Linked DNA regions of Pelodiscus sinensis. The protein of the gene in region 1 binds, or shares a complex with, the protein of each later gene. Links are inferred from orthologs where the notes say so. Each region holds a gene or a part of one and is shown on either strand. Other genes may lie near its edges.

The links.
Region 2: the proteins of PPP1CC (region 1) and CDCA2 are in contact, whole or in part, in a crystal structure (PDB 5INB), measured with the Homo sapiens proteins. The link is inferred for Pelodiscus sinensis from reciprocal best matches to the Homo sapiens genes PPP1CC and CDCA2. Residues at the interface, in NP_002701.1 of Homo sapiens: Arg20, Gly21, Ser22, Pro24, Lys60, Tyr70, Asp71, Leu73, Arg74, Glu77, Tyr78, Asp166, Lys168, Ile169, Asp242, Leu243, Tyr255, Phe257, Arg261, Pro270, Asn271, Ser284, Asp286, Glu287, Thr288, Leu289, Met290, Cys291, Ser292, Phe293; in NP_689775.2 of Homo sapiens: Lys391, Arg392, Val393, Thr394, Phe395, Gly396, Asp398, Leu399, Ser400, Pro401, Glu402, Val403, Phe404, Asp405, Glu406, Ser407, Leu408, Pro409, Ala410, Asn411, Pro413, Leu414, Gly417, Gly418, Thr419, Pro420, Val421, Cys422.
Region 3: the proteins of PPP1CC (region 1) and MRAS are in contact, whole or in part, in a cryo-EM structure (PDB 7SD0), measured with the Homo sapiens proteins. The link is inferred for Pelodiscus sinensis from reciprocal best matches to the Homo sapiens genes PPP1CC and MRAS. Residues at the interface, in NP_002701.1 of Homo sapiens: Pro178, Asp179, Gln181, Gln185, Arg188, Ile189, Met190, Thr193, Asp194, Pro196, Gln198, Leu201, Trp216; in NP_001078518.1 of Homo sapiens: Ala5, Ile31, Gln35, Lys36, Ile37, Val39, Asp41, Glu47, Asp48, Ser49, Leu51, Lys52, His53.

The regions. Positions count from the first base shown.
Region 1 is NC_134725.1:34,181,545-34,185,288, forward strand, and holds the start of PPP1CC (serine/threonine-protein phosphatase PP1-gamma catalytic subunit), read right to left. Parts: upstream 2,262-3,744; 5' UTR 2,133-2,261; coding exon 2,078-2,132; intron 1-2,077. UniProt on the Homo sapiens protein: Protein phosphatase that associates with over 200 regulatory proteins to form highly specific holoenzymes which dephosphorylate hundreds of biological targets.
Region 2 is NC_134738.1:9,384,428-9,388,171, forward strand, and holds the start of CDCA2 (cell division cycle-associated protein 2), read right to left. Parts: upstream 2,878-3,744; 5' UTR 2,707-2,877; exon of another isoform or gene 2,627-2,706; intron 2,027-2,626; exon of another isoform or gene 1,214-2,026; 5' UTR 1,174-1,213; intron 923-1,173; 5' UTR 767-922; coding exon 226-766; intron 1-225. Other genes in the region: BTB/POZ domain-containing protein KCTD9, read left to right, coding at 3,332-3,379. UniProt on the Homo sapiens protein: Regulator of chromosome structure during mitosis required for condensin-depleted chromosomes to retain their compact architecture through anaphase.
Region 3 is NC_134717.1:6,282,945-6,286,688, reverse strand, and holds the start of MRAS (ras-related protein M-Ras), read right to left. Parts: upstream 2,572-3,744; 5' UTR 2,467-2,571; intron 2,387-2,466; exon of another isoform or gene 2,212-2,386; intron 1-2,211. UniProt on the Homo sapiens protein: Signal transducer in the Ras-MAPK signaling pathway that regulates cell proliferation and survival. Core component of the SHOC2-MRAS-PP1c (SMP) holophosphatase complex that regulates the MAPK pathway activation.

The DNA.
Region 1 (3,744 bases):
TCAAATGATTTAAAGCTAGAAAATACCTGCCCAAACAAATTAAAATCAAGAAATTCAAGAGGATTTTTATGTAAAATTTCACTGTAAAAGCTTTTGCATCAATTAAATGCCACATTAGTTACTACTGCTAATTTGTAGTTCTAAGTACAGTGACAGACATCCTGTGAGTATCTTGTTAGTGAGTCCTTTAAAGTCCTATTTATGTAGCATTTAAAGGTGGCAGCTGTCACATTCCCAACCAACTTAAAAAAAAAAATCTCAAGTCATATATAGTATACTAGAAGATTTACCCAATGTTAATTGAGTCCTTAAGTCAATTTTTGTTTTTTCTTCATTTAAATCACTGCTCTGGGTGGGCTGGGAACGAGGCAGTCAGTATGCAGACTGCCCTGGCTGTGTGTGTGTGTGTGTATGGGGGGGGGGGGGGGAGAGGAAGTGCAGCAGCTTGGGGGTCAGATGAAAAGCACCTCTTCATGACTGCTCCAGCGGGCACAGCCAGAAGAGGGGTATATATCCAGTTGGCTAGGGCAGGTCCAGGTTAGTCTGCCCCCCTGTACTCCACAGCCAGAGTGAACAATGCAGCAAACTGTGCACTTTCCCCACTCCCTGAGGAAGGGGAATAGCCAGCAATATTCCTGTGCAAGTTTGGGGGGGGGGGGGTTAACCCCCCCTGCCCTCTCTAAAGGGTATCTGGGGTGGCTGGGGCTTGGGCAGTTTGGGGGAGGGGGGAGAAGAGTGCAGGTCCCTTTCACTTTCCCGGTGATTTTGTCTTTTCTGAATGTTTTCTGAGAAACAATCCCATTGCAGACACATCCAAACCTTTATTTATTTATATATATATATAAACTGTTTAGGTGTATATATATTTTACACCTAAACAGTAGCACAAAGAGGAAAAACCAAGACACAATATGCTCTCTCTGTACATATATATTTGGCACAATCCCAAATCAAATCCACTAGATTTGTAAATCTTAATTTCTGTAGGGATAACGATGATACTTTCTCCTGGCCTTTCATTATCCAATATGTTCAAAAAACCTTACAAGGGAAAAAAAAAGATGAAAGTCATTTCTCTAATATCTGGTTCAGCAGAATCCTAGGTTACTTTGCGCTAAATGGGAGGGAAAAAAAATCCTGAACAAGCTCTTCCAGGGTAAATTCAGATGAGACATCGGAGTACATAGAAGGTCCTGAGACAAGCTGGATAAACCCTATTCTTATTTAATTTTGCTACCTGCTCCAAGGAGAATGTCATTGGCTATTTGCAAAGATCAATAAAACTATTTTAACCTGATTCCGTCCAAACAGAAAAACAATAAAACCCCATGACAAAAGACTAGACACTGAGTGCACCTACCTATCCTCTCCCACTCCAAAGCATTACAGATAGACAATAAGACAAATCTTTTCCATAAGCTTAGAAGGACCTTATCCTCAGAGCAAAACCACCCCCTTCCACTTAAAAAAAAAAAAAGTCAAAAACGAGTGTGGATGAACTAAAACTCCTATTCTTACACCCACCGAGACCTGCATTCCCACAGATAACGAGTTACTCTGGCTCAATTACAGACGAGACCCACCTGAAGGGCCAAAAAGCAGGACACTTCCCCCTCCCCCCCATCTTTCTAAAGCCTCCCACAACATGCTCGGCCTCTGACCTTTCGAGGAGTTGCATTTCCACGCACAGCCAAGCGTCCCTTCACTCGGCACGTGCGCGGCAGGGAGCGGGAGACAGGACCCTGGACAAGTAGCTGCCTCACCCCCCCCCCAATCGCCCTACGGTTGCCACGCGCGGGTGGGGGGGGACCCGCTGCAGGCAGCAGCTCCAGCCGAGGCAGCGGCGTTGCAGCCCGGCAGGCGCGGTGCGGGGAACCTCCACGCAGGCGAAGGGCCGGTCACCGGGGCACGGCAAAGCCCCGCGGACGCTGCTCGAGGGGGGCCGAGCAGCGGGCTCAGGCCACAGGCCCCCTCCCCGCCCGGGCCGCCCCCCCCGGCATCCCCGCGAGCCTCCCTCTGCAGCCGAGCGCTTCCCTCCTGGAACCGCCCCCCCCCCCGGGCCCGCCCGCTTCCTCACCCTCCAGCAGCCGTTGGATGATGCTGTCGATGTTGAGCTTGTCAATGTCCGCCATGGCCTCCCAGCGGCACCGCAGCGCCCGCACCCGAATCTCCCGCCTCTGGCCGGCCCCTCGCAGCAGACACCCGAAGCCGAACAAAATGGCCGCCGTCCCTTCTCAAGAAGCTCGGCCGGCGCACGAATACTTAATGGTCGCCGCGCGGCGGCCGGAACCTTTGCTAGGAAGAGCGGGTTCGCTTCACCCAGCGTCTAGCACTCACGAGATCCTTCCGCCGGGAGGGGGCGGGAGCGGGAGCAGGGGAATAGCTTGGAAGCCGGCAGGTGCGCGCGCCGTTGCAAAGCGATGGAGTGTTCGAGGGGGCCGGCCGCAGGTTCCCTCCACGTGCGCCTTGGCCCCAGTCAGTCAGAGCAAGCCCAGTATCCCCCCTGCGTGAGCAGTACAATCGAGAATAAGGGACAACCCATAACTATAACAATCCATGAAACAGGACTGTGCAGCACTTTAAAGACTAATAAGATGGTTTATTAGGTGATGAGCTTTTGTGAGCCAGACTCACTTCTAGTATTTGCACCATCTGTCCAGTAGAAAAAAAATCAGAAAATACCAGAGTTGTGCAATGTCCAGTATTTTGTGAATTTCCGGCTGGGTGCGGGAGGGAAGCCTGGCAGGGGCGGGGGGAGTGACTGAGAGGCGGTGCACAATTGGCTTTGGGAGCCCTGTGGTCACGCCCCCCCTCCCAGCTATTGCACAGGACCAGAGGCTTCAAGTGCCAATTGTGGCCGTCTCCAAACTGGGAGCTTCTGGTCTGCCTGCCGGGGGCACAGCCAGAAGGAGTCTGGCTGCGGCCAGTGGCTGCACCCACCCTCGCCAGGTCTTTGCTTCCTGCCCCCCCCTTCCTCCGTCCCCCACTCCTCCTGTCCAGCCCCACAGCCCCCAATCCTCCCCAGCTCTGCTTACCACCCCCTCTTCCTGCTGGCCAGCCCCACGGCCCCCGGACACCACCCCCTGCCAGCACTGCTTCCCGCCCCCCTTCCTCCGCCCCCCCATCCTCTCCTTCAACCCCACAGCCCCCTATCCCCCCCCAGCTCTGCTTCCTGCCCCCCTTCCATCCAGCCCCGCCCCCTTCCCCTCCCTCCCTGGTGCGCTCAGCTGGGAGCTGTGCCCTGGTGGGGGAGCAAGTGGCGGTAAGCGGCCGTTTGGGGTCTGTGCTCCCCACGGAGTTCCCCATGAGAGCACGGACCCCAAACGGCTGCTTGCTGCCGCTTGCTCCCCTGCCGGGACCCAGCTGAGTGGCGCAGCGCGCCACGGAGGGAGGGAAAGGGGGGCAGGGTGCTGACATACACGGCCAGGGAGCGTGGCTGTGTACGTCAGCGTTACAGACGCACAGACACTGGGCTACTATATATATGATGGCCAAGCCATCAGAGTCTTCTGTTGTTAAGGATCGCTATGAGACTGGATATGCCAAGTCTTGATAGGTCATCTACATCTGAAACTTTGTCTTGCCACTTAATATTCATGATTCCGCAAAGGCAGCAAAGGTGGAAACTAATCAATTTTTTCTCTTGGCACGAGTAGGTAGCCCAGGTCTCAGATCCATAAAGCAAGAAGCTTGATACTCACGCATGATATATCAGTATATTTGTTTTCAATGTCAGTTTGGGAT
Region 2 (3,744 bases), on another chromosome or scaffold:
AATGAATGTTGGACAATTCTTCACAATTTCCATCTCCTGTACTATTTCCAAATCACTACTTATAAAACCTATATCTGTGTTATCAGAAATTGTCCCAAATGCCCTGAAATCTTCTGGACCACCATTCACAACCACCATTAAATATTTAAGAGAATGTTCTCATTCACAAATGAACCACAGTATTTTGAAACATTCATTCCAAGAGTCACTTTGCTAACCCCTTACCTATAGATGGCTTAGCAGTAAAAGACTCTGGAGTAATCCCAAATTCAGCTATAGTTACACTTGCAAAATCAACAGGTGTCTTCATTACATTCTCTGATGTTTCACAATCTGGTTTTACATCTGCTTCACCTTTATCAGGTGTCACATAGCTTGCATCATCCAAGAATGTAGGGCTGCCTTTTGAAAAAGGACTTTGAGGTTTGTGTGCTGTCAAAAAGGACAAGGAAGGTTGAAGTAAGTTTCCCTTTAGTTTAAAAGAAAGGCTTTTGTTTACTGCCAGTTTACTATCATCCTTGCTGTTCTGATATGATTTTCTCCTTATGTATTCGTTGCATTTTACTCCAGGTTTAAATACATGTGTAGATCTCAGGTCATTTAAATTTTCAATTTCTGAAAGGTATGAGCTTTTTGATTCATCCATTTTGACAAACTTGTCTTTTGGAATGGGCAGAGAATAAACCTTCTCTTCTTCAATAAGTCCTTTCAAATTTTCTTTGACATCAGCAACAGTATTTATAATTTGTCTAGATTTTCTGCGCATTGTCAGTGCTGTTTTCTGAGCTTAAAAAAATATGACCAGTCTTGTTGCTCTCTTGTAATCATGCGTCTGTCATTAAGACGTCGTCATTATGTTTTTTTGTAAAAGCAATCACCATAACATGCAGACATCAAGCCATTAGAAGATACTGCTGCCATTCTATGGAGAGAAGCATGAAATGTTAGCTATGAAGTTTACTGTAAATATCAGATCTTATATGCATAACATTCTGACGTATGTTGATGTCTATATTAAACACAAAAACCATCTAAGCTAATTCAACATTACGGTGGAGATTTCCAAATCACCACCTCACGAAATCTAATACCACCATCTACATGTTTTGCTAGTCTATAAAGTGCTACCATATCATTTGTTGTTTTTTTAAAAATGCACAAGCCAGTACTCACTTTCATTAAAGAAATATCCAGCTTCTGAGATAATGATCATCTAGAGCACAACAGGATAAATCAGTTTGTTCATTTAAATAAAAAGATGTTATCTAAGTATGGCAAATAGGATAGTGAAAAGTTAAACAGAAATTCATGCCCAAAATTCAAAGCAGTATAAGCACAAGTCTTGCACCTGAGCATCACAATGCTTAACTAAGTGTGTCAGGCTGTGACAAAATGTTATTAAAAGAACATTGTAACAACATGATGCTGCAGGTTTATTCAATATCAAAGTGGGCCTTCCTGCTTTGAAAAGCTCAACACCAGTTGGCAGATGGAACAGAGTATTAAGAGTAAGTTGATCCTTTAAAATAACAGGTGTTTTAAGAAGGGGGAAAAGCCTGTTATACCATGCTGTGCATGTGGCATTGTTTGACATATATGAATGGGAGGCCCAGGTTATCTACTTTTAGTTGTTTCATTGTTCCCTTTATCATACTAAAATGTGACCATAGATTGGGAGCACTTGGTGGTACAGAAAGCCTGTCATTCAACTGGGCAACAAGGTGAAATGGAGAGTGAGGGCAATGGGTAGAAAAGAAGACGGGAAATTTTGTTGGGCAAGCATGCCGAGTCACAGCTGCTGCTCACTGCTGCACATTCTTGACCCCCATCCAAGGGGATGCAGCTTGAAGGGAGGGGGGGGGCGCGCACAAAGAGAAAAGGGAGCATATTCCACATATTCTCAAGGGGATCACAGGGGCATGTAGCACATGACAAAAAGAAACCCGGTAACAGGGGCCAACACAGCTCCAGGAGGGGCAGCAGAGAAGAGCCCCTGTGCCCAAGGGTCTATCAAGCAATATCCACCCAGCCAGCAACTTCCTCCCTCCCCAGCCCATTCTCCAACCAGTTGTTTCCATGGGCATTTCCTCAACTCCTATCATACCTGCCCCCCTCATTAGCCTCCCCCACCCCCGCTCCCCCTCATTAGCCTCCCCCACCCCCGCTCCCCCTCATTAGCCTCCCCCACCCCCGCCCCCCCTCATTAGCCTCCCTCACCCCCGTTATCTGCTCCCCCTCATTAGCCTCCCCCACCCCCGCCCCCCCTCATTAGCCTCCCCCACCCCATTATCTGCTCCCCTCATTAGCCTCCCCCACCCCCGCTCCCCCTCATTAGCCTCCCCCGCCCCCTGCCCCCCTCATTAGCCTCCCTCACCCCCGTTATCTGCTCCCCCTCATTAGCCTCCCCCACCCCCGCCCCCCCTCATTAGCCTCCCCCACCCCATTATCTGCTCCCCTCATTAGCCTCCCCCACCCCACCCCCGCCCCCCCTCAGCCTCCCCCGCCCCCGCCCCCTGCCCCCCTCATTAGCCTCCCCCGCCCCCCACCCCCCTCATTAGCCTCCCCCGCCCCCTGCCCCCCTCATTAGCCTCCCCCGCCCCTCCCCCTGCTTCCGCTCCCCCCTCACCCCCAGCGGCTCCTGGATCCCGAACGATCCGACTGAGGAAACTCCACTAGGCTAGACGCGCCTCTAACATTCAAACTCACTGCCTCCTCCATGCACGTGCGTATCCCTCCGCAGGCTGGGCCAGCGCTGAGGCGCCTCCCCTGCTAGCCCCACCAATCTGCGCATGTGCCATCCGCCTCATGGAAGGGGCAAAGAAGAAGGCTGTCGCTGGCAGACTTAGGTGCTCAGTCTCTGCCGGCGGCTCAGCGACACGGGACTCTTTTCCCTGCAGCGAGTCCCGGCAGCGCGCAGGGAACAGAGCTTCGTCGCGATTGGAGAGTTCTTAGTTTTGAAATAGAGCCCATCAAACGGCCGGTCCTTCCCTCACGTGACATACACGAGCCAATCAGAAGGCGGGGAGTGAGTCGACCCCCCTTTTATGCAAATACGCCTCATGCCATTTGGCCGTGAAGGGTGACGCCCTACTCTTTTCAAGCTGCCTGACTGTAAGAGTTCTGATTGGCTACAACCGAGACCCCGCCCCCCCCCGAGGCAGACCGCCCCCTGTCAATTCTCCCTGCCTAACCTCCACACACCTGCACCAATGAACGTCCCTCCCACCTCTGCATTCTATTGGGCAAGAGGAGGGGGAAGTGCGGCTCTGGTTGGGTCCCGGCCTTGTCAGTCACCGCTGCTGGTTTCCGGGTTTAGAAGCATCGTAGGAGCATGAGGCGGGTCACCCTGTTCGTCAATGGCACCCCCAAGAATGGGAAGGTGAGGGGGCAAGGGGCTCTGAGGAGAAGAGGGCGGGGGGACTCCGGAGCTTGCATGGTGGGGGAGGACGTTTTGGGGGGGGCATGGGGACCCTGAGAAGAGGTGGGGGAGGGGAACTAATAGGGGGGGTGCGCGAGGGAGAGGAGACGTTGGAAGCGGGAGGGAATGCGAGGGGGGGTTAAGGTGGGGGAGGAGCCTAGTTAGGGGCGGGGTTTGAGGGGTAGGTGTTGAGGGGGAGGAGCCTAGTTAGGGGCGGGGTTTGAGGGGGAGGTGTTGAGGGGGAGGAGCCTAGTTAGGGGCGGGGTTTGAGGGGGAGGTGTTGAGGGGGAGGAGCCTAGTTAGGGGCGGGGTTTGAGGGGGAGGTG
Region 3 (3,744 bases), on another chromosome or scaffold:
CAGATCAGAAAAATAGGATTTTCCAATTGATTGTAACCCTTAAAGCCTGAAATAAGTCTGGCCTTAAAACTGTAACCTTAAGTGAGATCCCTAAAGCAAATGGCCTAGATTTTTATACTTAGATACTTGATGTTAGGGAACCAATGTTGGAAATTTTGGCCAGCTTACTTCACACTCAGCAATGCTCCGTGGTTAGTGTTATATATTTACATTTCAGCCATACCTTCAGGCCTCTCAACCATTGCTCCCTTTAATCTTTTCCATCTATGTGCGGAATAATTTTTTAATGTGCACCGAGACATTTGCAGTTGTGCACCGATAGAGACACAACATCTGTGGGTGCTCTGCTAATCAGCTGGACGGCATCTGAATTTCTCCTGAGCAGCCACAAAAGCGCACAACTTACAGGAAACACTGGTCTCAATGTGACTACAAAGACAGTCTCTGTCCCCTGAAGCTTACAGTCCAAAGTTTCCATCGTTCACCCTGGAACGGTTATAAATGTATATATAAAATGATAGCAGTCAACGATATGCTAAATAAATCAGACTGATTCTCCTGCACCGCATGATCTCCTGAGTAGAGCACAGGACAGAGAGGCATCCAGTGTGGGTTCTAATCCCAGCACTTGACTGTATCTTGCGTCATTGTGGGATGGTCAGTTAACTTCTCGGTGCTTCAGTTGCTCAGCCTGTAAAACAGGGATTTGCTACTTTTTGCAAAGTGCTTTGAGATCTCGGGATGGAAAGACGCACCAAGTAACATTACTAATTCACAGCACCAGTGGTCACAAATTCAAATAGCTAGGGAGTTTTCAGAGTCATCTCAGATTTCTAGTACTTTGTCTCCGCAAATAGGAGTTAAAGCCAATTAGTTTGCATTATTAAATACATTTGGCATTGTTTTTTGATAATTTTTCCATTAACTCTAATAAAGAAGCTTCTGTGCCGACAAATTTCATTTAGAGTCCTAGGAAACGACTCCTGGCTCTAGAACCAAAATACAAAATGAAAGGCTCCGCTTCCCAGACAGTTAGCAACAATATCCTGTAGTCCAAAACTAGCTCAATGCAAAACTATGAGGTGGGGAATATCAGGGAACTGGATACCAACATCACATTAAAGTAAATGATAATTAAGCATCTTTGAAAAATATAAGCCTGGTGTCTTTGTGAGAGTCAGACACTTTAAAAGAAGGTATTTTATTTACACATTATCACTAAGCATCTCTTCCCCCAACCATCCCTCTTCACTTTGGGCACTAGTTTTATCTATACAGAAAATTCAATCAGACCCACTGGGCGTATCACTTTTTATTAAAAATTATCACGTCCGTGGAAAAATGAAGATCGCACATATTTCAGCGGCATTGAAGCAATTTGCGTAGTGGGGCTGTCGAAAGCTATGGAACAAAACTGTACATCCTGTAAAACCATTTCAAATCGGGGCTGCTGCCACCCCCAGATCCTGCACCCCTGAAATATTTTTTAAGATGAGGAAGCTTTTTCCTCCAAAATCACCCCTGTGCATAAACCCTTTCTTTCTTCCACTATTTGATCTGAGGAAGTGGGTCTGGCCCACGAAAGCTCATCATCTAATAAACCATCTTGTTAGTCTTTAAAGTGCTACATTGTCCTGCATTTTGCCCCTTTCTTTCTGACACTGAGCCATAGAAAGAGAGAAAGGGGTCTCCTCTCCATGGAGGAGTCTATGAAACGTGGCTCACAGCGGATCCAGGGCAAAGTGTCACTAGGAACCACATCTTGCCAGGGGGGCACAGACAAGGAGGGAGACGCGCCACATGCTACAGCAGAGTTGGAGCTGGAGAGTAGCGGGCGTGTCCGAAAGAAGAGCAGCCCCGTCTAACCGCGGCTCACTTCTCCTTTTAAAAGGGGAAAGTCTCATCCCCCGCCCCCAGGGAGCTGCTAGGGGGAACTTCAACTTGCGCCACTTCTCGCCAGCCAGAGGGTACATGGCCCGCTTCAAACAGCCCCCGGGGGCTCCAGACAGGACCTGGTTACAACAGGTCGGTCCGTGCCACATGCCCCTACCTGGAGAAGCCTGAGTAGAAAGCCCCCCCCGCCGGCTCGGCCCCCTGGCCCTGCCAACAGGGGGCAGGGAAGCGCTGCCAGAGGGCACCCCCAGCTGGAACTATGCGAAGCGCTTGCAGCAAGCGAGGGCTACGCTCCGGATCGCGTTCCATCGCACTCACCTCGGGGCCGTGCCCAGGACCGGTCCGAGCGGCGCCTCGCTCCCTTACAGCAGCCCCCTGCCCTGGGTGGGCGTGGGAAGCGCTGCCCCTGCCACCCCCTCCACCATCCCCGCCTGCCCCAGCGCCCCTTAAAGCGGCAGCAGCCCGTCTGCCTGCAGATTGAACACTTCCACCATTCTTTATATTGCAAGAGCGGCGGCTAAAAATAGCCCGGCTCCCAAAAAAAGGGGGGGGCGGGGTGGGTTAGTTGCTCACTTGGCAGACGCAATTTCAGCTGCCCGGGGTCTTTGGAAAATAGGCTGCGCGCTGCAGAGCGGCCCAGCCTCCCCCACTCTGGGTTTAGCCGAGGCCGGAGGGGCCAAGCTGCTCTTTAGAGCTGCCCCAGAAAAAAAAAAAAAAAAAGCAACCATCCCTCCCTTTGACAAATGGACTCGTCCGCCTAGTGTGCTCCAGCGAGTTGCCTTTAAGGTGGACCGAGAGGTGGGGAACTGGGCAGCGGGACCTTAAGGCGTTTTTGGAGTGTGAGACCACTTCATAGAATCATAGAATAATAGGACTGGAAGGGACCTCGAGAGGTCATCGAGTCCAGCCCCCCGCCCTCAAGGCAGGATCAAGCTCCGTCTACACCATCCCTGACAGATGTCTATCTAACCTGTTCTTAAATATCTCCAGAGGGGGAGATTCCACCACCTCCCTTAGTCATCCCGAATCCAAGGCTGTTTACACAGGGGCTGGTGTGCTGGTCTGGTCAGATAAACGAAGCGAATGGATTTTCATCTTCTTTTCCAAGTTCTTATCAGCCTCTTGTAACTATTTAGTCCAGAGGGTTCCCAAACTTTTTGATATGGGGACCAGTAAAGCCATTCACCAGCTTTTGGAGGGCTGGTAACATTCATTTGCATATTTGCATACTCTTTAAACAAATGATAAATATGCAAATAAGTTGTTTCTGGTCCTCCCAAAGCCCCCAGTGCCAGCTTTAGCAAAGCTTTTGATATGGTCACCCACAATATTCTTGCCAGCAAGTTAAGGGAATATGGATTGGATACATGGACTGTAAGATGGATAGCAAGCTGGCTAGACCAGGGTTTCCCAAACCTGACCGGTCCCAGATGAGGGATTTTTTGGACCAGGGAAGGTCATTTCTGGGCTCCTGGTTCCCCCCCTCCCCACTAGGTTTCTTTGCACCTCCTTCTCTTGCAACCCAACTGAGCTGCCCACCCCCGCTGGTTCCCTGCACCTCCCCCACAATCCAAGGGAGAGCAGCACCAGTTCCCCGCAGCCCATCTGAGCTGCCCTTCTGTTCCCTATGCCTTCCTCCATCCACCTCAGCCCAGCTGAGCCCCGCACTGGTTCCCTGCATGCCTCCCCCGCGGCCCAGCTGAGCCCCGTTTCCCTGCACCTCCTCCCAAGCCCCGCAAAACTGCTGAGCCCAGCTCTGATTTCCTGTCCCTTCCTCCCCTTGATCCTAGCCCTGGGTTCCTGGCACCACCCTCCTCCTGCAGCCCAGGTGAGCCCAGCGCCCTACACCTC